Linked DNA regions of Macaca mulatta. The main gene of each other region encodes a partner of the protein of the gene in region 2 in a complex. Links are inferred from orthologs where the notes say so. Each region holds a gene or a part of one and is shown on either strand. Other genes may lie near its edges.

Region 1 (10,551 bases), on a different chromosome or scaffold from region 2:
GTAAGACCTTGTTTCTATGAAAGATAAAAATTAAAAAATTAGCCGGATGTGGTGGCGCATTCCTGTAGTCCCAGCTACTTGGAAGGCTGAGATGGAAGGATCATTTAAACCTAGAAGGTTGAGGCTGCAGTGAGTCAAGATCACGCCACTGCACCCCAGCCTAGGCGAGAGAATAAGACTCTATCTCAAAAAAAAAAAAAAAAAAAAGGTTGGGGTAAAAAAATACAGCAATGATAAATAATTTTAGACAAGACTAAAAAATGAAGTGATGTTTTTATCTAAAGAAAATCCTGGGCCGGGCATGGTGGCTCACGCCTGTAATTCCAGCACTATGAGAGGCCGAGGTGGGCAGATCACGAGGTCAGGAGATCAAGACCATCCTGGCTGACACGGTGAAACCCCGTCTCTACTAAAAAATACAAAAAACTAGCCGGGCGAGGTGGCGGGCGCCTATGGTCCCAGCTACTCGTGAGGCTGAGGCAGGAGAATGGCATGAACCCAGGAGGCGGAGCTTGCAGTGAGCCAAGATCGCGCCACTGCACTCCAGCCTGGGCGACAGTGAGACTCCATCTCAAAAAAAAAAAAAAAAAGAAAAAAAAAAAAAAAGGCACCTCAGTGTGCAAATGTAATTTCACAGATACCCTTTTAGTGTTTTCCAGCCTTCTAACAATATAAAACCTCTCCCAAACACCCTCTATGTTCTGTAACAATGACCACACTTAAAATAATGTGTTTCTTCCTCAATCTGTTTGCATCACAAGGGCAGGGACTAGGTCTGTCTTGTTCTCCACTGTGAACTTGGTATCTACTTCTCTGGCACACAGCTGGCCCTCAATAAATAATAACTAAATGAAAACTTTTCTTAAAATTATCAAAAACTAAAAAGCAACTGTTTCCTCATTGATAATGTAATCATCTAAACATGTGTAAGGGTAACTAAACAGTATATAAACTGTTACATCACTAAAACAGACACCCCATCATGCTTTTAGAGAAGTTCTCTATACTGTTTAGACTTGGTTGCAAATAGTAAAATATGAAGTTTTCTTTCTCATGCCAGCCACATACCCATATAAAGTTGACTGGCCTTTATGAGATAGTATACTTCTTGTGGGCAGGATTTAAAGAGATTATCACCCTCTCTGCACCCTTTCAAAGCCAAACTTCTTGAAAATAATTTCCACAGACACCAACTCTATTACCTCACCTTCCATTTTTTCAATTACTCACCCAAACTGGCTTTTACTTCCACAACACTGAATCCAATCTTTCCAAAATCACCAAAAACTTCCTTATGGCTAAGTCCAGTGAACACAGTTTGGTCCTTCTCTTGTTCAACTCAATAGCTTTTTTTTTTTTTTTTTCCTTGTGGGGGTGGGTGTTAGAGAGTGGGTCTTGCTTGCCATGCTGCTCAGGCTGGTCTCCTGGACTCAAGTGATCCTCCTGCCTCAGCCACCTGAGTAGCTGTGACTACAGGCACATGACACTGTGCCCAGCGTCAGCCTCATTTTTGACATTGTTTTTGCTTTTCAGTTTTTTAGAGTTCTTCCTGTAACATGAACTGTATATTCACATAAACTACCACAGATGCCAGAAGAAGAAAAAAAGCTGGAATCTAACTCTCTACCCTTACAAACCCACTCATAACCTAAAGTAGTAAGAATGATTTTAACCCATACCTCCGCCCCAACCATCTTTGGAAACTAGATGTAATGAGGGTATAGAGGGCAGGGGAGGGTTTTTTGCTTTTTTTTTTTTTTTTTTTTTTTTTTTTTTGAGACAGAGTCTTGCTCTGTCTCCCAGGATGGAGTGCAGTGGCGCAATCTCAGCTCACTCCAACCTCCACCTCCCGGGTTCAAGCGATTCTCCTGCCTCAGCCTCCTAAGTAGCTGGGATTACAGGCATGCACCACCACGCCCAGCTATTTTTTGTATTTTTAGTAGAGATGGGGTTTTACCGTGTTGGTCAGGCTAGTTTCAAACTCCTGACCTCGTGATCCGCCCACCTCGGCCTCCCAAAGTGCTGGGATTACAGCCATGAGCCACCACTCCCAGCCAGTTTTTTTGCTTCTTAATTAAAAAAAGAAAAACAGGCCGGGCGCGGTGGCTCAAGCCTGTAATCCCAGCACTTTGGGAGGCCGAGACGGGCGGATCACGAGGTCAGGAGATCGAAACCATCCTGGCGAACACGGTGAAACCCCGTCTCTACTAAAAAATACAAAAAACTAGCCGGGCGAGGCGGTGGGCGCCTGTAGTCCCAGCTACTCGGGAGGCTGAGGCAGGAGAATGGGGTAAACCCGGGGGGCGGAGCTTGCAGTGAGCTGAGATCCGGCCACTGCACTCCAGCCCGGGCGACAGAGCCAGACTCCGTCTCAAAAAAAAAAAAAAAAGAAAAAAGAAAAACAGCAAGAATAAGCTATAAAATCTTTCTAAGTCATACCCAAAAGGATAAATAATGTATAAAGTCACCTAGCCCGATTTTATCATACATTTTGTAATTTTAAAAATGTATATTGTATTTCTGTACTTTAAATACTTCCTTTAATCTTTTTAGTAATAAAATATAGCAGTTTTTAATCATAACCATAAATGTTATATAACATTGACTGTAATACTGAAAACACAGTCAATTTACTTCACTTTAAGAACAGACAGGCCGGGCGCGGTGGCTCACGCCTGTAATCCCAGCATTTCGGGACGCCAAGGCAACTGGATCATGAGATCAGGAGATGGAGACCATCCTGGCTAACACAGTGAAACCCCATCTCTACTAAAAATACAAAAAATTAGCCAGGCGTGGTGGCAGGCACCTGTAGTCCCAGCTACTTGGGAGGCTGAGGCAGGAGAATTGCATGAACCTGAGAGGCGGAGCTTGCAGTGACCTGAGATCGCACCACAGCACTCCAGCCTGGGCAACAGAAAGAGACTCCGTTTCAAAAAACAAAACAAAAAAGAACAGACAAGACTCTTAGTAGACACATTGGCAGGCATCATAATTTTACTGAATTCACCTTATGCAATAAATTTTCTTTTAGAATCACACCAAAATTGGCTCTCTTTCTTCTTTCAGTAGAATTAAAATTTCCATACAAATTACAGACTTCAATCTTATTCATCAATACTAGACAGAAAAGTGTCATGTTGCTTCACACCAATTTCTTAGCTTTTCAATCCTGATATTCCTTCCCACTTGACAATAAACACAGTAACAAGAGTACTCAAATGACCTTGAAACTGTTGTTTCACTCACCACATAAATTTTTTTGCATCTTCTTATTCTTCAATAAATCAATTTCAAGAGCAAATTAATAAAATAATAACAATAATTAGGATTAATATCCCTGCAAGAATATTAACTAATTGCAAACGCCTACCTATTTTCCTCTCGGTGTGTTCTCTAGCTCTTTATTATAGATACAAAAACTATCTTTGTTAACAGATGACTTTAAGGACCACTGCCACACACACAAGGATGAAAGACTTTACTCAATGGCACAAATCAGTCAGAACTAAAAATGGAACTTAGATACCAAATGCAAGTCATTGAACTTATATTCTAATAGTTTAACAAAGTGATTTTTAAAACTACATAAAATTTACCAACCTTTTTTTTTTTTTTTTTGAGACAGCGCCTCACTCTGTTGCGCAGGCTGGAGGGCAGTGGTGCTATCTGGGCTCAATGCAGCCTCAAACGCCCAGGTTCAAGCAATTCTCGTGCCTCAGCCTTCCAAGCAGCTGGGACTACAGGTGTGCGCCATGGCGCCTGGCTAATTTTTTTTTTTTTTTTTTTTTTGCTAGAGATGGGGTTTCGCCATGTTGCCCAGGCTGGTCTCGAATTCCTGAGCTCAGGTGATCCATCCGCCTCAGCCTCCCAAAGAGCTGGGATTACAGGTGTCAGCCATCATGGCTGGCCCCATCTTAACCATTTCTAAGTGTATAGTTTAGTAGTGTTAACTATATTCACATTGTTAACAGTTTATGGTAACCTTTAACTATAATTCCTAACTTTATTTTTTTTAATATGGTTTTGGAAATGTATCCTCTTCCTAAATGTATTAATGGTTAGCTACAGAACAATTTTTTTTTTTTATTTCAAGAGTAGGGATTTAAGATAAGCTATTTTGACTTTGTGATATCATAAACATATATATGTAAACAAACAAGAGTCAGATTGAATGTGCCCCACTATACAAATGAGACAACGTGAGCATAAGGTAGAAATGTATTATCCTAAATAAGGATCTATGTATCCATAAATCCATAAATATGCAAGAAGATAATGTTCTTCCTTATAGTAGAATAACTAAAAAATGTAGAAGGTATCATGAAAATAGAAAATCACCATTTTGCATCACAGTAATCATTTCTCAGGTAAAAATCATCAACAGATGCTAAGACTGGGTAAAAGTCTGATGCGAAATAGAAGAGTCACATAGTCTCAATGTATCTCCTCATAAATTAGTTAAAAATTACAAAAGGAGGAGTATTAACTTGACAGTGCAGAAACCTGGCAAACAACACATTGGCTAAGTAACTAAAGTTAGCATTACCACTAATGGGATAAACCAACATTAAGTACCTCCTAATATGATGCACGGGGAACACAATACCACTTTTGTGATATTCTCACCAAGAATACATAACCTGAATCCAATCATGAGGAAACACCAGATAAACCCAAATTGAGTGACAGTCTGGAAAATAGAAGGCCTGTACTCTTCAAATACACCAATGTCATCAAACCCAAAGGAAGGCTGAGGAACCTTTCTAACAGAGTAAGAGAGACATGATAACCACTTGACATCTAGAGTATCTTAGACCAGAATAAGGAAAACTGCTACAAACTGTACTAATGGGACAACTGGCAAAATTGAACATCCAGAGATTAGAAAACAGTATTTTATGGTGAAACTTCCAGATATTGCCAATTACAGTGTAGTTAGAAAGTGAACCTCTTTGTTCTTTTAAAATATCACTGAATTATTTAGGAGTAAAGGGTACATTTGCAACATACTTTCAAATAGTTCAGACAGATAGTATTATGTATGTATGCGGAAAGATAAAGCACATGTGTCAAACTGCTAACAGGATGGGAAAACCAGGGGAAGGGTTTTGAGATTTCTCTGTACTATTCTTGCAACTTTTCTATAAGTGCAAATATTTCAAAATTTAAAAAGTTAAATACAGGTATATGTCCCTATTAATTTATGGGTTCACTTTAGAAGTCTTGCTACCATTTCTTTTATGCTAGAAATTCAAATCTCTCCAACATTCTTAATGACTTTAAAACAGCTATTCTACTTAGCTTGACTTCAAATTTTAAAAATAAGTCAAGGTCAAAGTCTTTGGCAAACCACAATGAGTATCTGGAAGTAATGTCTAACACATTAGCCAATGATGGGGATAGTAAGAATTACTTAATCATTCTATTTTTTTCTGTTAGCTCTACAAAGTTACTGAGTCCTAAATTCCATCCCCCACCACAATTATAATTTCACTGAGGCCAGACTTGTAATCTGTCCACAAAACTGTTTTCCAACTGCTGCATAGACCAGCATTCTTCTGGCTCAGGTTCCCAGAATTTCCCCAAATTCATGACTTTCACTTGTTTATATCCAGATCCCCTAATGGGAGAAAATACGTCCTGAGGGGAAGACAGGACACTAACCTGAAAGACATGGGTTTGAACTCTTTAGGGGAAGGCAGGGTCAGACTTTTTATCAAACAAGGAATACGCACAAGAAAAAAGATGTCTACAGCCAGGCGCGGTAGCTCAGGCCTGTCATTCCAGGACTTTCGGAGGCCGAGGCAAGTGGATCACTTAAGGCCAAGAGTTCAAGACCAGCCTGGGCAATATGGCGAAACCCCGTCTCTACCAAAAAAAAAAAAAAAAAAAAAAAAATTAGCCAGGAGTGATGATGCACACCTGCGGTCCCAGCTTCTCAGGAAGCTGAGGTGGGAGAATCGCTTGAACCCGGGAGGCGAAGGTTGCAGTGAGCCCATATCGTGCCACTGCACTCCACTCTAGCATGGGCAACAGAGTCAGACCTTGTCTCTTAAATAAATAAAAAAAAAAAGTCTAATGTCTACAGACATCTAGAAAGAGCTCCAGCTATGCCTCAGAGAGAAAAATCCCAGGAGTGGATGGGGAAATATTCATGCACAGAAAAAAAAAAAAAAGGAGAAAAGGTACAAACCATCAGGTAAGTTTCTGACCCAGGTTTACCAATCTTGTTTCTCATTTCACCTAAATGTAAACTTGGAAAACTATAGAATCCACAATATAAATTATTGTTACTCGACTGGTGCCTGGTCAGTCTCCAAATAGTACTCTCCCACATCATGAGAACAAAAATGTTTCCTATCAGTCCTTCTCACAACAGAAGAGAAAAACGTGGTTTGTCACTAATGAAACACTGAAAATGTACCACTGTCACCAGTTAAGCTATTTAACCTACAATCTGCTGGTTAAAAGCAGGTCAGCCTGCAGCATATAAAAAGACGTCTGCCTTTCAAAACTGGCTAAAGCTGTCAAATCTGATCACAGGTTTTACAAATACAATCGCCTCAACTCAGCCCTGCTCCATAAACCAGAAAGCAGAGCCAGCTTCCATAACTGGCCACGCCGCCTCCCACCCCCCCGCCCCACCCCCGCCCTTGACAGTGAGTGGGTCGGAGCGGCCACAATGCGCCCAAAGTGTTTAATTCTTCCAGAAATGCCGGCCTCCGGGAGGAATGCAGGTTTGAAACTGTCCCCAACAGGGCATTCCCCGGCGACATTTTGCTCCCTCGGGTGTGGAGCAAGTGTGGAGGGCCTGGCGGCCCGAAAGTGTCCAGAGTGACCGACAAATGTGGGAAGCGTCAGGGCAGAGAGTGGGCTAGAAGGGGCAGCAGACGCTCAAATTCACACCATTCGGAGTCACCCTGACCCCCAACCTCTGACTTCTGCCCCGAACTGGCGGCCCCGAAGGAGTCCAGGGCAGGCCCCAGAACTTTGGACCCAAGTCCCAGGCGGGGACCGGCCTGTGGGCGCGTGGGCTGGTCGGGTCTGAGGGAGCGGTGACGTTTGCAAGACCCTATAGGGACGGCGGGTTGACGGGGGACCGTCCCTGGGTTCGCCTTCCCAGTCCGGACTCACCGCCCGTCGGAGCTGCCCCGGAGCCGCAGCTCGGAACATGTTCTCTGCTTCCGCCGCAACCTCGGCCTCACAGCAACCCCGTGCCCGGCCAACTGGCGTCGCCTCAGCCAGTCACCTAATGCTCGCGAGACGCGCGAACGAGATCAGACGCCCTAGGCTGGGAGCGCGAGCCCGCGGTTCCCGCCTGCCCATTGGGCGGCTGCGCAGCCAATAGACGGCGGGAAGTTAGGGGCTAGACTGGGAAGTGGGGCAAAGGTGAGGCTATTCCCAGGGGACCTTCGAGTAATCCCGGGCCGCGGAGCTGCAGCGACAAAGCTGGCCACCCGCTGATGACCGAGCTCAGACTGTACTGTCTCACTGCCCCGCAATGGGCAGCATTACTAGAGTGAACTGAAAAACTGAGCTGATCTCGGGTTAAGGTATGAGTGGAGCCTTGCTAACTCCAATTAGATACCTTTCCCATATGCCCCTATTTCCCCCTGTATTTCCCCATGGTAGCAATTGTCACATGGGTTGTAATGACCTAAGTACTTGTCTGTGTCACCCATCTGACTAAAGATCTGTAAGGGCAGAAAGTATGCCCTACTTTTAAATTTTCTGTCTACCTGCGACACCTAGCACAATTCCTGGCCCTCACTAGGCATTCAATCAGTATGTGTTGAATGAATCAGCAAATGAATAAATGACTGCTAATGAGTCTGGACTTTATCACGAAATTTTTAAGAAAGGAAGTGGTATGTTCAGAAATTGTCTTAATTCCCATTTCAGCAACAACCTACCTTTCCAATGTTATCTAGTCTATCAACAAATCCCGTTAACTCTACCTTCAAAAGATAACCAGAATCCAGCAATATCCTCCAACACCCCTTTGCTCCTCCGCCAGTACCACCTTCACTCAGGACCCTGTCATCTCTTGCCTGGATCATTGCAAAGCCTCCTAGCTGGTCTTTATGTTTCTACCCATGTTTCCAGAAGCCTCTTCTCCAAACTGATGGACTGATCATGACCTCTGCTCAAAGCCCTAGGGTGGCTCCCTCTCCTCCCACTGCCCTCTTCTCTGACTGTGCCCCAGACACACGGGCCTTCTTGAGCACACAAGCCTGCTCCTCTCAGAGCTTTGCACTCTGGCTGTTCCCTCTGCCTGAAATGCCCTTCTCTTGTTACCCACGTGGCTTACTTCCTCACTTCATTCAGGTCTCTGCTCAAAAAACACATTTGCAGAAAGGCCGACCTTGGCCTCTCTACCTGAAATGGCACCCATGCCACTCCCAGATGCCCTATCACGGTGTTTGATTTTTCTTCTTGGCATTTGTCACCGCCTAACAGGATGCACGTGTTTGTTTGTTTATTGCAGATCTCCCGGCATTGGAGTGTAAATTCCCTGGAGCAAGAGCTTTGTCTGAACCAACAATCTCTCTAAGGGCCCAGTGCTTTAGCTCTTCCCTCTGTCTGAAATTCCCTTCCCCATCTGACAGGCCTCTTTAAAACCCAGATCAAGTGACAATTCTTTTGTTTTGTTTTGTTTAAGACAAGGTCTCTGTTTCCCAGGCTGGAGTGCAGTGGTGCCATCACAGCTCACTGCAGTCTCGAACTCCTGGGATCAAGCAATCTTCCTGCCTCAGCCTCCCAAGTAGCTGGGACTACAGTCATGTGCCACCATGCACAGCTATTTTTTTTTTTTTGTAGGGGTAGGGTCTCACTCTGTTACCCAGGGCTGGTCTCGAACTCCTGGCCTCAAGTGATCCTCCCACCTTGGCCTCTCAAAGTACTGGGATTACAGACATGAGCCACCATGCCTGGCTCAAGTGACATTTCTTTTGTAAGCTCTTTCTCAATTTTCCAGGATGAATTAATCCTTTCCTCTTCTTCACTCTTCTAGCTCTATGAACAAGGAGGTGAGGACCCATCTTAAACTTAAGTCGCACCCACTGTGAACATGTCTGAACTCATGTTACAGACAGAGCTGTGGACCCCTGCCCCCCAGTCAATCTGCCTGTGGGAGGGGCAATTTAGTATTCCATGTCTCACTGTATTTGCCTCCTAACCCAGTCCCGCACTGGACTAGAATCTGAGACCTATGGGAGTGGAAGGAAGAGGGAAGGGTACTTTTGGTTCCTACCAAAAGGATATTTTACTAAAAACCATGTAAAAGACTGGGCTACAAACTAACCTCCTTCCCTGCCTCCCCACCCATGACAAAGCAAAACACAAGGGGAGAGCGGCTGCCCCGCCCCGCCCCCACTGGGCAGATTCAGCAGCTCCCAGGCTTGGGCAAATCAATAGCAGCTGTGCATGGCAGAGGCTTGTTGCCCCTGGGAGTTCCTGGTAGAACAGGTCAGAGCTGAGGGAGAGGCTGAAAATGGGCAAAGTCTGTGACACCTTGTTCTGATCACACATGACTTGTTCTGATCACACATGAAATGCCCCCTGAGTCTTTGGGATGAAGGGATATCAGAGTTCTACAATCACAACCACATCATGTACCAGAGAAATGTGTGTGCTAAGACATTTCTATTAGAGGATTTTCCCTAGAGGTATACAACTTTCCTACTCCGTTACGAGCTGCTTTGGTGGCAGGACCTATGGTTTCCTTTTATTTACTTATTTTTATTTTATTTATTTTTGAGACGGATTCTCGCTCTGTCACCCAGGCTGGAGTGCAGTGGCGCGATCTCAGCTCACTGCAACCTCCACGTCCTGGGTTCAATCGATTCTCCTGCCTTAGCTTCCCGAGTAGCTGGAATTATGGGTGCCCACCACCATGCCCAGCTAATTTTTGTATTTTTAGTAGAGACGGCGTTTCACCATGTTGGTCAGATTGGTCTCGAAACCCTGACCTCAGGTGATCTGCCTGTCGCGGCCTCCCAAAGTGCTGGAATTACAGGCGTGAGCCTCTGTGCCCAGCCTATTTTTCTGGTTCTCATTTTTAGACGTTCAGCGAACATTTATAGAAATATGTGTCCAATGGGCTAGGTGCAATGACTTACACCTGTATCCTAGCACTTTGGGAGGCCTAGGTGGGCGGATCACTTGAGGTCAGGGGTTCAAGACCAGCCCGGCCAACATGGCGAGACCCCCACCTCCGGTACTACTAAAAATACAAAAATTAACCAAATGTGGTAGTGTGTTCCTGTAATACTACCTACTCGAGCGGCTGAGGCATGAGAATCACTTGAACCTGGGAGGCAGCGATTGCAGTGAGCCAAGATTACACCACTGCACTCCAGCCTGGATGACAGAGCAAGACTCCATCTCAAAAAAAAAGAAAAAAGAAAAAAAGAAAGTAAATATTTGTCCAAAGAAGAAAGGGCAGAAAAGAGAGGGTGGAGGAAGGATTCAAGGACTGCCACAGCCAACCCTTGAAGATGATTCCAGCATATTTGGAGCAACACCTCTTTCTCTTCCACAGGTCAA
Region 2 (10,721 bases):
AAAACCTTGTAAGTTTGGGATTTTAACTATCCTTTGCTATTAATAAGACCTTGTTTTGTCCAAATTAGAATTGGTATGATGGCTTTTAAAGGAACAGGGGACAATTTTTTTTTTCTTAACTACTTATATATTTCTCTCTTTCTTTCTTTCTCTCTTTGACTTCCCTTTTGCCTCTGTCTACTCCTCTCTCTCTGCCTCTGTCTTTCTCTCTCTCTCTCCGCCTCTTTCTCTCTCTCTCTCTCCCCACCTCTCTCTCTCTCTCTCTGACTCCCTCTTTGTCTGTCTCTTCTTCTCTGTCTCTTCCACTCTCTCTCTTTGCCTCTTTTCCTCTCTGTCTCTTTCTTTTCTCTCTCTCTGCTGGTCTTTCCTTGCCTCTGCCAGCTGCTTATGCTGCTGTTCTCTGAACCACTGTGTGTTGGGGGAGGGGGATCTAAAACAAGCTGGTCTGGGTTCCCTGGCTTACAAGTTACCTTGTGCCATACCTTTGAAACAAGGGATCTGTCCACGCTTCCTTCTAACGGCCAACCTACCTCTAATGCTGGCCAGTCTATCTTACACAAAGTTTTAAGTTTTCCTGGTGTCAGAGTACTCCATAGTCTCCCTTAAATCCTTTTTTTGAAATTTTTCAACATAGCTCCTAGTGCGTTGGGCTTACTTTGTGCCTCACCTATGTTTCCTCTAGACAAAACACCACGCTCACACCACACGCACACCACAAAACAAAGAATGGGTAAAAAGGGCACACACACACTTGTGTAGTTTACACCAAACCAAAATCAAAACCAAAATCAGAGTATCCAGAAATCCAAGCCAGGGCAAAACCAAAACCAAAGTATCAAGCAATCCAAGTCAAGTCAAAAACAAAAACCAAAGTGCCGGTACAGGCACACAGTGGGCGATCAGGCCACACTTCCACTCAAATGGAGTAGGTAAGTTCCCAAAACCAATCCTATCAAGCAATTCAAACCAAGTCAAAACCAAAACCAAAACCAAAGTGCTGGTACAGGCACACCATGGGTGATCAGGCCACGCTTCCACTCAAATGGAGTAGGCAAGTTCCCAAGACCAATCCTGTCAAGCAATTCAAACCAAGTCAAAACCAAAACCAAAGTGCCGATAAAGGCACACCGTCGGTGATCAGGCCACGCTTCCACTCAAACGGAGTGGGCAAGTTTCAAAGACTAGTCTTACCAAGTTTTAGATGTCCAGACTCCAAGTGCCCGTTCCTTCCAGGTGTTCAGCCACTGCGTTGATCCTCCACGTGGGCCTGCCACACACTGCTCTGGTGAAGCATCCCACTGGGGGAAATGCCTACCCGGGAGCGCTCTCAGGATCCGCGTTGCTCGGGCTGGTCTGAGTCCCCTGAAGGGATGTTCCACAGGGCAGGCTTAAGCCGCCTAAGGAGCTGCCTTGACCATCCACCATTCACCTTGCTTCCCGGTCAGGGAACCAAGAAATGTAGCAGAACGAGCGCAGACAAAACTCCTCAGACACCGAGTTACAGAAGGAAGGGGTTTATTCGGCCGGGGGCATCGGCAAGACTTTAGTCTCAACAGCCGAGCTCCCCGAGTGAGCAATTCCTGTCCCTTTTAAGGGCTCACAACTCTAAGGGGGTGCATGTGAGACGGTCGTGATTGATTGAGCATGCAGGGGGTATGTGACTGGGGGCTGTGTGCACCAGTAATTAGATCGGAACAAAACAAGATAGGGATTTTCACAGTGCATTTCTATACACTGTCTGTAATCTATAGATAACAGAACCAATTAGGTCAGGGGTCGATCTTTAACTACCAGGCCCAGGGTACGGTGCCGGGCTGTCTGCCTGTGGATTTCATTTCTGCCTTTTTGTTTTTACTTCTTCTTTCTTTGGAGGCAGAAATTGGGCATAAGACAATATGAGGGGTGGTCTCCTCCCTTAGTGAAATGTCATCAGTTAAGGCAAGGACCGGCCATTTTCACTTCTTTTGTGGTGGAATGTCATTGGTCATGGCAGGGCAGGGCATTTTCACTTCTTTTGATTCTTCAGTTACTTCAGGCCATCTGGGGGTATTCGTGCAAGTCACAGGGGATGTGATGGCTTGGCTTGGGCTCAAAAGCCTGACACTCTCCCTGCTGATCATGTCTAGCTAATCTCCCAAAGCCCAATCCCTTCTACAAAACAACTCCTTTCCTTCCTAGGCATGGTTAGTGCGGTCAGAATTCGTACACAAGAGTTGGGACCGTGTCCTGTAGCCTTTCTGTCCAAGCAACTTGACCTTACTGTTTTAGCCTAGCCCTCATGTCTGCATGCAGCAGCTGCCACTGCTTTAATACTGTACCACGTCCTGTAGCCTTCCTGTCCAAACAACTTGAACTTACTGTTTTAGCCTAGCCCTCATGTCTGTGTGTAGCAGCTGCCACCACTTTAATACTGTTAGTGGCCTTAAAAATCACAAACTATGCTCAACTCTCTACAGTTCTCATAACTTCCAAATCTATTTTCTTCCCCCAACCATCACTCAAGACAACGCTTATGTTGATAAAGTAACTAAAAAGCAGCCATCAAAAAGCATCAGATTCCATCGCTCAGGACAATGCTTATGCTGATAAGTTAGCTAAAAAAGCAGCTAGCGTTCCAACTTCTACCCCTCACAGCAGTTTTCCTCCTTCTCACTCTCACCTACTTCCCCACTGAAACTTCCACCTATCAATCTCTTCCCACACAAGGCAAATGGTTCTTGACCAAGGAAAATATCTCCATCCAGCCTCACAGGCCCATTCTATTCTGTCGTCATTTCATAACCTCTTCCATCTAGGTTACAAGCCGCTAGCCTGTCTCTTAGAACCTCTCATTTCCTTTCCATCCTAGAAATCTATTCTCAAAGAAATCACTTCTCAGTGTTTCGTCTGCTATTCTACTACTCCTCAGGAATTTCTCAGGCCCCCTCCCTTTCCTACACATCAAGCTCAGGGATTTACCCCTGCCCAGGACTGGCCAATTGACTTTACTCACACGCCCCAAGTCAGAAAACTAAAATATCTCTTAGTCTAGGTAGACACTTTCACTGGATGGGTACAGGCCTTTCCCACAGGGTCTGAGAAGGCCACTGCGGTCATTTCTTTCCTTCTTTCTCGGTTTGGCCTTCATACCTCTATACAGTCTGATAATGACCAGCCTTTAATAGTCAAATCACCCAAGCAGTTTCTCAGGCTCTTGGGATTCAGTGAAACCTTTATATCCTTTAGCATCCTCAATCTTCAGGAAATGTAGAATGGACTAATGGTCTTTTAAAAACACACCTCACCAAGCTCAGTCCCCGACATAAAAAGGACTAGACAATACTTCTACCACTTTCCCTTCTCAGAATTCAGGCCTGTCCTTGGAATGCTAGAGGCGACTGCCCATTTAAGCTCCTGTATAGGCACTCCTTTTTATTAGGTCCCAGTCTCATTCCCGACACCAGCCCACCTTGAACTGCACCCCAAAAACTTAGAGCCTAAAAACTCACCAACCAAGCAAGTAATTATGCTGACTCCCCCCCCCTTAGGCTCTCTCTAATTAGCTGTCCTAGGTCCTCCCAATTCTTAGTCCTTTAATACCTGTTTTTTCTCCTTTTCTTATACAGACCTTGTGTCTTCCGTTTAGTTTTTCAGTTCATACAAAACCGCATCCAGGCCATCACCAATCATTCTATGTGACAAATGCTCCTTCTAACAACCCCATAATATCACCTTTTACCACAAGATCTCCCTTCAGCTTAATCTCTCCCACTCTAGGTTCCCACGCCACCCCAATCCCACTTGAAGCAGCCCTGAGAAACATCGCCCATTCTCTCTCTCCATACCACCCCCCAAAAACTTTTGCTGCCCCAACACTTCAACACTATTTTGTCTTATTTTTCTTAATATAAGAAGGCAGGAATGTCAGGCCTCTGAGCCCAAGCCAAGCCATCGCATTCCCTGAGACTTGCACATACATGCCCAGATGGCCTGAAGTAACCAAAGAATCACAAAAGAAGTGAAAATGCCCTGCCTGCCTTAACTGATGACATTCCACCACAGAAGAAGTGAAAATGGCCAGTCCTTGCCTTAAGTGATGACATTACCTTGTGAAATTCCTTTTCCTGGCTCATCCTGGCTCAAAAGCTCCACCACTGAGCACCTTGTGACCCCCTACTCCTGCCCTCCAGAGAACAACCCCCCTTTGACTGTAATTTTCCTTTACCTACCCAAATCCTATAAAACGGCCACACTTCGCTCTCTTTTCGGACTCAGCCCACCTGTACCCAGGTGATTAAAAAGCTTTATTGCTCACACAAAGCCTGTTTGGTGGTCTCTTCACACGGACGTGAATGACACCACTTTGACGGCTTTCTTGCCTCTACCAGGACAAACTCAGTTCTTTATCTCTTTTCTGAATTTTCCTGGTACTTTTACTCTGAATATACTGCTTAATTAACATTCTGCCTTGTACCTAGGACTAACACACTAAACTCCCAGAAGACAAAGTAGGAGAATACAATAACAGGATATAAAATTTTAACAGCCAAGTTAGAATGAATTTATGGCTGACCTTTATTGGGCAAAAGAAAATGTTGTTAGTGTAAGATTTAGGGGTGTAGTGACCAAGGCGTAAACTAGGATGGCAGCAATGAAAGGGAAGAGTCCCGAGTAACATGGGAAACATTTACACTGCATGTTTCACATGTCCGTGTGAAAAGATCACCAAACAGGGTGTGTGTGAGCAACATGGCTGTTTATTTCACCCGGGTGCAGGCGGGCTGAGTCCGAAAAAGGAGTCAGCAAAGGGTGGTGGGATTATCATTGGTTCTTACAGGTTTTGGGACAGGCGGTGAAGTTAAGAGCAATGTTTTGGGGACAGGGGGTGAAGCTCAACAAGTACATTCCCAAGGGTGGGGAGAATTACAAAGAAACTTCTTAAGAGTTGGGTAGATTACAAAGTGCATCGATCAGTTAGGGTGAGCAGAAACAAATCACAATCCGTTAAGTTATTTTCACTTCTGTGGATCTTCGGTTGCTTCAGGCCATCTGGATGTATACATGCAGGTCACTGGGGATATGATGGCTTAGCTTGGGTTCAGAGGCCTGACACTGAAGGCTTGCATTTGGGCTTTTATTAGCTTTAACAACGAGGTATCTAAACCTGGACAGTTTCACAAACACCCATTTTAAAACATTCCAGCTACCATCTCAAAACTCTCTCAAAACTCAGGGTCTTACTGGAAGAGAAAGTGACTCCACCTAGAATTCCTCAGGGAGACATTCACTTCCATCATTGGCTGACCACGAGCTTTAGACAGCCTCTACTGCACCCGCATACCAAGGACACCACATCCACATCAGCCCACAAGTCATAAATAGCCTTGGAAATACGTGGAAAGGTCAAATTTACGTAAGCAATTAAATTCTCTTTTAAATTTTAAGGAAACACAAACATGCCTTTGCTTTAGTTAAGGCATTTGAGAGCAAAATGTATTAATACTTTGAATCCGCCAAGCAGACACAATCTGGGTTTGACCGTTCTCTGCGGGTGAAGGTGAAGGCTGAGCACGGGGCCGCTCTCCTTCCAAGTCCCAGCCGCGCCCTCTCACCCAGTTTCCCATCCTGCACCGTGCCGCACGTCCCCCACCATTCAGCGCCACCCGGCCCTCCCAGCCCCGCCCCGTCCTTCTCCTCCGCCCTGGCTCTCTCTCCGCGCTAGTATCAGCCTCGGCGTCCCACAGAGAAGGCAAGACGTGGGCAGGCAGAGAACCAGACCAGGCTTATCAGGGATTGCCGGTAGAGGGGATGCAACCCCTCCCCAGGTCGCACCCACGACGCAGGCAAGGGTCATGGAGCATGCGTTGAATACCCCGGCCGGCGACCGCTCCCACCCCGACGGCTCTCACCCGGCCTGGCGCAGTGCCCCCTCCTTCCGCTGCCCAGCCGCCTCTTCCCGCCCCGCCCCGCCCCATCCCGCCCACGGGCCCCAGTGGGCGGGACCAGCGGAGTCCGGCGCTGGGGGAGTCTGTCAAGGCCGTGACCCGTGTAATATTGTCCTAGTGGCCGAACGGGAGCCAACATGGCAGCGGGTTTCGGGCGATGCTGCAGGGTGAGAGAGAGCCCAGCGGTGCGGTAGGGGCAGGGACATGGATATTGTGTGGGAGCACGGGGCCCTGGACCAAAAATAGGTGCGGCCGGGAGGAGTGGGAAGTCGGGTTGAGGAAGGAGCTTGCCTGCCTAGGGGTCCCCACCTGCTTTCACGCCTCCTACCACCGGACGGAATGTAGCCTGGCGTTTCATTTTCCGTATCCTCCCGTCAGCCGACCCCGTTATAGCCGGCATCCTCTCTTTAGAATATCGTTTTTCTTTCTCTGGTAAACCCTCCAAATATTTACCCCGGGAATCCCACCTTTTCCCGAAGTGACCCGGTCTCTGTGTCAGAACCACGGGAAAAATGAAAATGGAGCAGCTACTCCTTGAGATACTTAATATGTTTAGTAAGCTTTTCGTTGTGTAATATGGTGGAGGACGCTTCCACGTTGCTTACTGGGAAAAAAAAGTAAAAGAAAAAACCTACCGCAGGATTTTATGTGAACTTGTCTGTATATTCTAGTATTGGGTCTTAACAGATTCTAAATAAGTTTGTCATTAGATGCACTTTGGTATCTTAAATATTCTTGACATGTTCACACGACTGCCATTTAGATGTCACTTAAAATTAAGTTAAAGTTATGTCTTTGACCAAAAAAGCTGAGGTTTTAGAATAATCCTAAAGAATTGCTGCCCATATTTTACTGCTGTTATTCAAGTTAATGTGCAGTGAAGGCAGAAATTGGGGGATTTCAGCTATTTTTAACTCCAACACCAGAAAAGCAGATTTCTGAACCTTCCAAGGAAGGATCTAAAAAAAAACCTGATAGAGAAAACGTATACCCTTTTTCTCTTCTTTAACCCATAAAACTAACACTTTTATATTCCCAAGAAATGCACAAAAGTGTTCAATTCTAATGGTGCTATTTCGATATTTGGAATTTCATTGTTCTAGACAGAGAGCCCGAGGTAATAAAACCAATATTTATATAGCATTAGGCTTTCAAAACATTATCTTACTTTAATCGTTCAAAAATACGCAGTGAGATTAGCACCATTTTTCGGTTTTGAACGGAAGCTATAAGCAGTTTGTAACCTGTCTACGGCCATAAATATAGTTGTGGAACCTAGATTCAAATTCAGCAATTGTAACTCCAGATCCCTTCCTATTTCTGTTTTCTATTTGTAAACCACCTCTCTAACTGGCTAACTTTGTTGTGTAATTAACAGGTTGATGGACATTGTATTCTGGTAATAGCAACCTTTGCACTTTGTTCTATGTAACATATTTTCCTGAACAGTCACATGTGAAGTGACTTTTTCCCTATTTAAAGTCTCTCGGTTGGCCGGACGCGGTGGCTCACGCCTGTAATCCTAGCACCTTGGGAGGACTAGGCGGGTGGATCACTCAAGGCCAGAAGTTCAAGACCAGCCTGGCCAACGTAGGGAAACCCTGTCTTTACTGAAAATACGACAAATTAGCTGGGCATGGTAGCATACGCCTGTAATCCCAGGAGACTGAGTTTGCAATGAGCAGCGATCTCCCCACTGCATTCCAGCCTGGGTGACAGAGGGAGACTGTCAAAAAAAGTCTCTCAGTAGACCATTTAACCTGGTTTGAGTTCTGACTTTTGTGCATGGGATTTAAAAACGCATTTATAATAGTCAGTTTTTTGGTTCTGATTTTTGCAGAATGTTTTCCTTTGTTATGAAACCTAGTGACCAATTAGGATACTAACAGAAAGATGAGTATAGCAAGGTGGTTAATAGCATGGGCTCTTGATAGTAAATGTTAGAATCCTGGTTGCACTAATAGTAGAGTGACTTTGCCTAATTTAGTTGACTTTCTGAGCCTTCGTTTCTTCACATGCGAAAATGGAATAAAAGTAATAACTTAATCCTAGACTTGACCTAGGATTCAGTGAATTAACCTGTGTAATGTGACTGTAAATCAGAGTAGATTTGGTCTGTGACTGCTGGACAATAAGGACCAGAGAAACGGTTTCACTTTTTTTTTTTTTTTTGAGACGAAGTCTTGCTCTGTCACTCAGGCTGGAATGCAATGGTGCAGTTTAGGCTCACTGCAACTTCCGCCTCCTGGGTTCAAGTGATTCTCCTGCCTCAGCCTCCCGAGTAGCTGGGACTACATACCACCACACCTGGCTTACTTTTGTATTTTTAGTAGAAATGGGGTTTCACCATGTTGGTCAGACTGGTCTCAAACCCCTGACCTTGTGATCCACCCACCTCAGCCTCCCAAAGTGCTGGGATTACACGCATGAGCCACCCCGCCTGGCACTGTTTCACTTTCAAAATAAAATGAATGAAGTTGCAAAGATAATGCGAGTTTTCATACTCTGTGTGTGTGTGTGTGTTTTTTAATTGTAGTATGAGTTATGTTATTTTGAAAGCGCTGTTTCAGTTACAAATATTTGATACTCTTAATTATATTGTCACCTTCCATGTAGGAAATCCTCTGTATAAGTTGAAATTGTCATCTACAAAGACAGTTTCTTTTTACAGATTTTGAAAAACATAAGAATTTAAATGTAGAAACTTTAGTATATTCTTCAGCTTCTCTTTTCTCTTAGTATCTCAGCTTGTTAAAATTGCCAGATAGTTCAGTTAAACTCTTTTACAGTGAAAATTGTGTAATTTTGGCTGTCCTGACACCTTTATACAGGAACACCATTGTGGTTCCCAGTTTGGCGGCTTTAATAAATGCAGATTTTTACTTTTGTATCCATTAAGCTGTCATGAATATAAAAACGGGTTGCAAAACAATAATATATGTATATTTGATTGTTTGTTTCTTTATATGTTCCTTTGAAGAAATATGAGTGTATTTCACATCCTAAGACAAGAAATGTATTAGTAGTTTAGAACAGGGATGGCAAACGTTTTTTGAAAAGGAGCAGATAGTACATGTTTTTGGCTTTGTGAACCATATGGTCTCAGTGGTAACTACTTAGATCTGCTGTGAAAGCAGCAATAGACAGCATGATGTGGCTGCCATAGTTTGGTGACTCCTTGCTCAGAACATTGTAAGAATGCCTGTAGACAGCAGAAAATACAGAACATGGTTTTATGCTAATTTGTTTTGTTAGAGTGGGGTATCCTAAAAAATGAGATCCTCTGAGGGGAAGGTTCCCAGAGGCATGCATGGGAGGCTCACAGGGACAGGGTATCAAAGTTGATGGACTAGGCAACTCTTGAACACAGTATGTTCACTTTCCACCTATCGTTCTTCCCACCCCAGCTCTCCAACCATCAAAGTCCTAGGAGCTTATAAGATACCCAGAATAGTGGTCCTACATCTACTAGTACCCTTGACTGTTGTTTGTCCTAAATCCTCCACTTCAGTAGTGTAAATACCACTGACTTTATTTTCATTACTTTTTAAAAACATCTCCTCTGTCATAGGAGTTTATATAACTGGTAATTGACTTATTTAAATTATGATTGAAGGCATTTAAATAGTGATGACTTTAAAAACTATGAGTATGGTCAAACAAGTTGTTGTACTCACTTACAATTATGAGTAGTCTCTTATCTGATTAATGTTTAAGTTATCAAATTTATTTTAATAAAACTGTTCTTTACAGGTCCTGAGAAGTATTTCTCATTTTCATTGGAGATCACAGCATACAAAAGCCGATCGACAGCGTGAACCAGGATTAGGATTTAGTTTTGGTATATGTTCTGTTCTATCTTTTGACTTTAAACTTACACATAAGAAGCTCTGTCTATGTATTTGTTTGGAGTACATTTGTAAATAAACTTAATAATGTCTTTCAATGAGTAGGACCAGTCCACCGTCCACAGATCGTTCCCAGTAACTCACACCCATTTTTCCTGATCTCATTTTCTTCCTCAGTATACTATACTATACATTAAATCTGTGTTAGTAGTATACATACACTTATATTCCTTCCTTTTTTTCTAAGTGTTTAGCCCAAAATCAATGAGATTTACTGATATATATGAATAGTCTTCAACTTATATATCTGAATGCCACAAATACATTTTAAAACACTTGTGAGATTACAATGCTAGGTGCCTGGTAATAAGCTAAAGCTTGTTTTTGCTATAATATATCCACATTGCAATTTTGGTACTATTAGGTGAAGTTCTCACTCCTGGCACCAGGGAGCCATGTAGTTGTTGTAAGGAAAAGGAATATGATTTTTCTTCCTCCCTCCTCTATAAAATGAAAACCACAGTCAAAAAATGTGAAATAATAATATCTATCTTTGGCATTCTTGGCCATCTAAAGTGCTTCTTCAAAATTTTTATTTTTTCTCTAGTTAAAAACCATTTACTCAATTCATTTGGTCTCAGAAAATAGTTAAAGGCAGCTGAGATAATCACAGCTAGGTACAAATGACAGTCTCAAAGCTCTCCAGAGTTATTGTTTGTTTTTATTGTTATGTTTTTAAAGATTTTTCCCTTTTCTTTATAAAGTTTTTTTTGGTTTTTTAACCAAATTTGATGAAGTTTTTCTTTTTCTTTTTCTTTCAGAAAAGATGAGGTTTCATTGTCTCATTATGTTGCCCAGGCCGATCTTAAACTCCTGGGCTCAAGCAGTTCTCTTATTTCAGCCTTCCAAAGTGCCGGGATTATAGGCATGAGCCACTGCACCCAGACCA

Evidence for each region. The genes of interacting proteins can lie anywhere in the genome.
Region 1: the proteins of ACADM (region 2) and ETFA are in contact, whole or in part, in a crystal structure (PDB 2A1T), measured with the Homo sapiens proteins. The link is inferred for Macaca mulatta from reciprocal best matches to the Homo sapiens genes ACADM and ETFA. Residues at the interface, in NP_000007.1 of Homo sapiens: Pro163, Lys173, Pro211, Gln232, Arg235, Glu237, Val251, Glu253; in NP_000117.1 of Homo sapiens: Arg223, Lys226, Arg249, Asp253, Ala283, Ile284, Gln285, Glu304.

The regions. Positions count from the first base shown.
Region 1 is NC_133412.1:54,428,254-54,438,804, forward strand, and holds the start of ETFA (electron transfer flavoprotein subunit alpha, mitochondrial), read right to left. Parts: upstream 7,241-10,551; 5' UTR 7,177-7,240; coding exon 7,138-7,176; intron 1-7,137. UniProt on the Homo sapiens protein: Heterodimeric electron transfer flavoprotein that accepts electrons from several mitochondrial dehydrogenases, including acyl-CoA dehydrogenases, glutaryl-CoA and sarcosine dehydrogenase.
Region 2 is NC_133406.1:164,849,245-164,859,965, reverse strand, and holds the start of ACADM (medium-chain specific acyl-CoA dehydrogenase, mitochondrial), read left to right. Parts: upstream 1-5,699; 5' UTR 5,700-6,061; coding exon 6,062-6,091; intron 6,092-9,677; coding exon 9,678-9,765; intron 9,766-10,721. UniProt on the Homo sapiens protein: Medium-chain specific acyl-CoA dehydrogenase is one of the acyl-CoA dehydrogenases that catalyze the first step of mitochondrial fatty acid beta-oxidation, an aerobic process breaking down fatty acids into acetyl-CoA and allowing the production of energy from fats.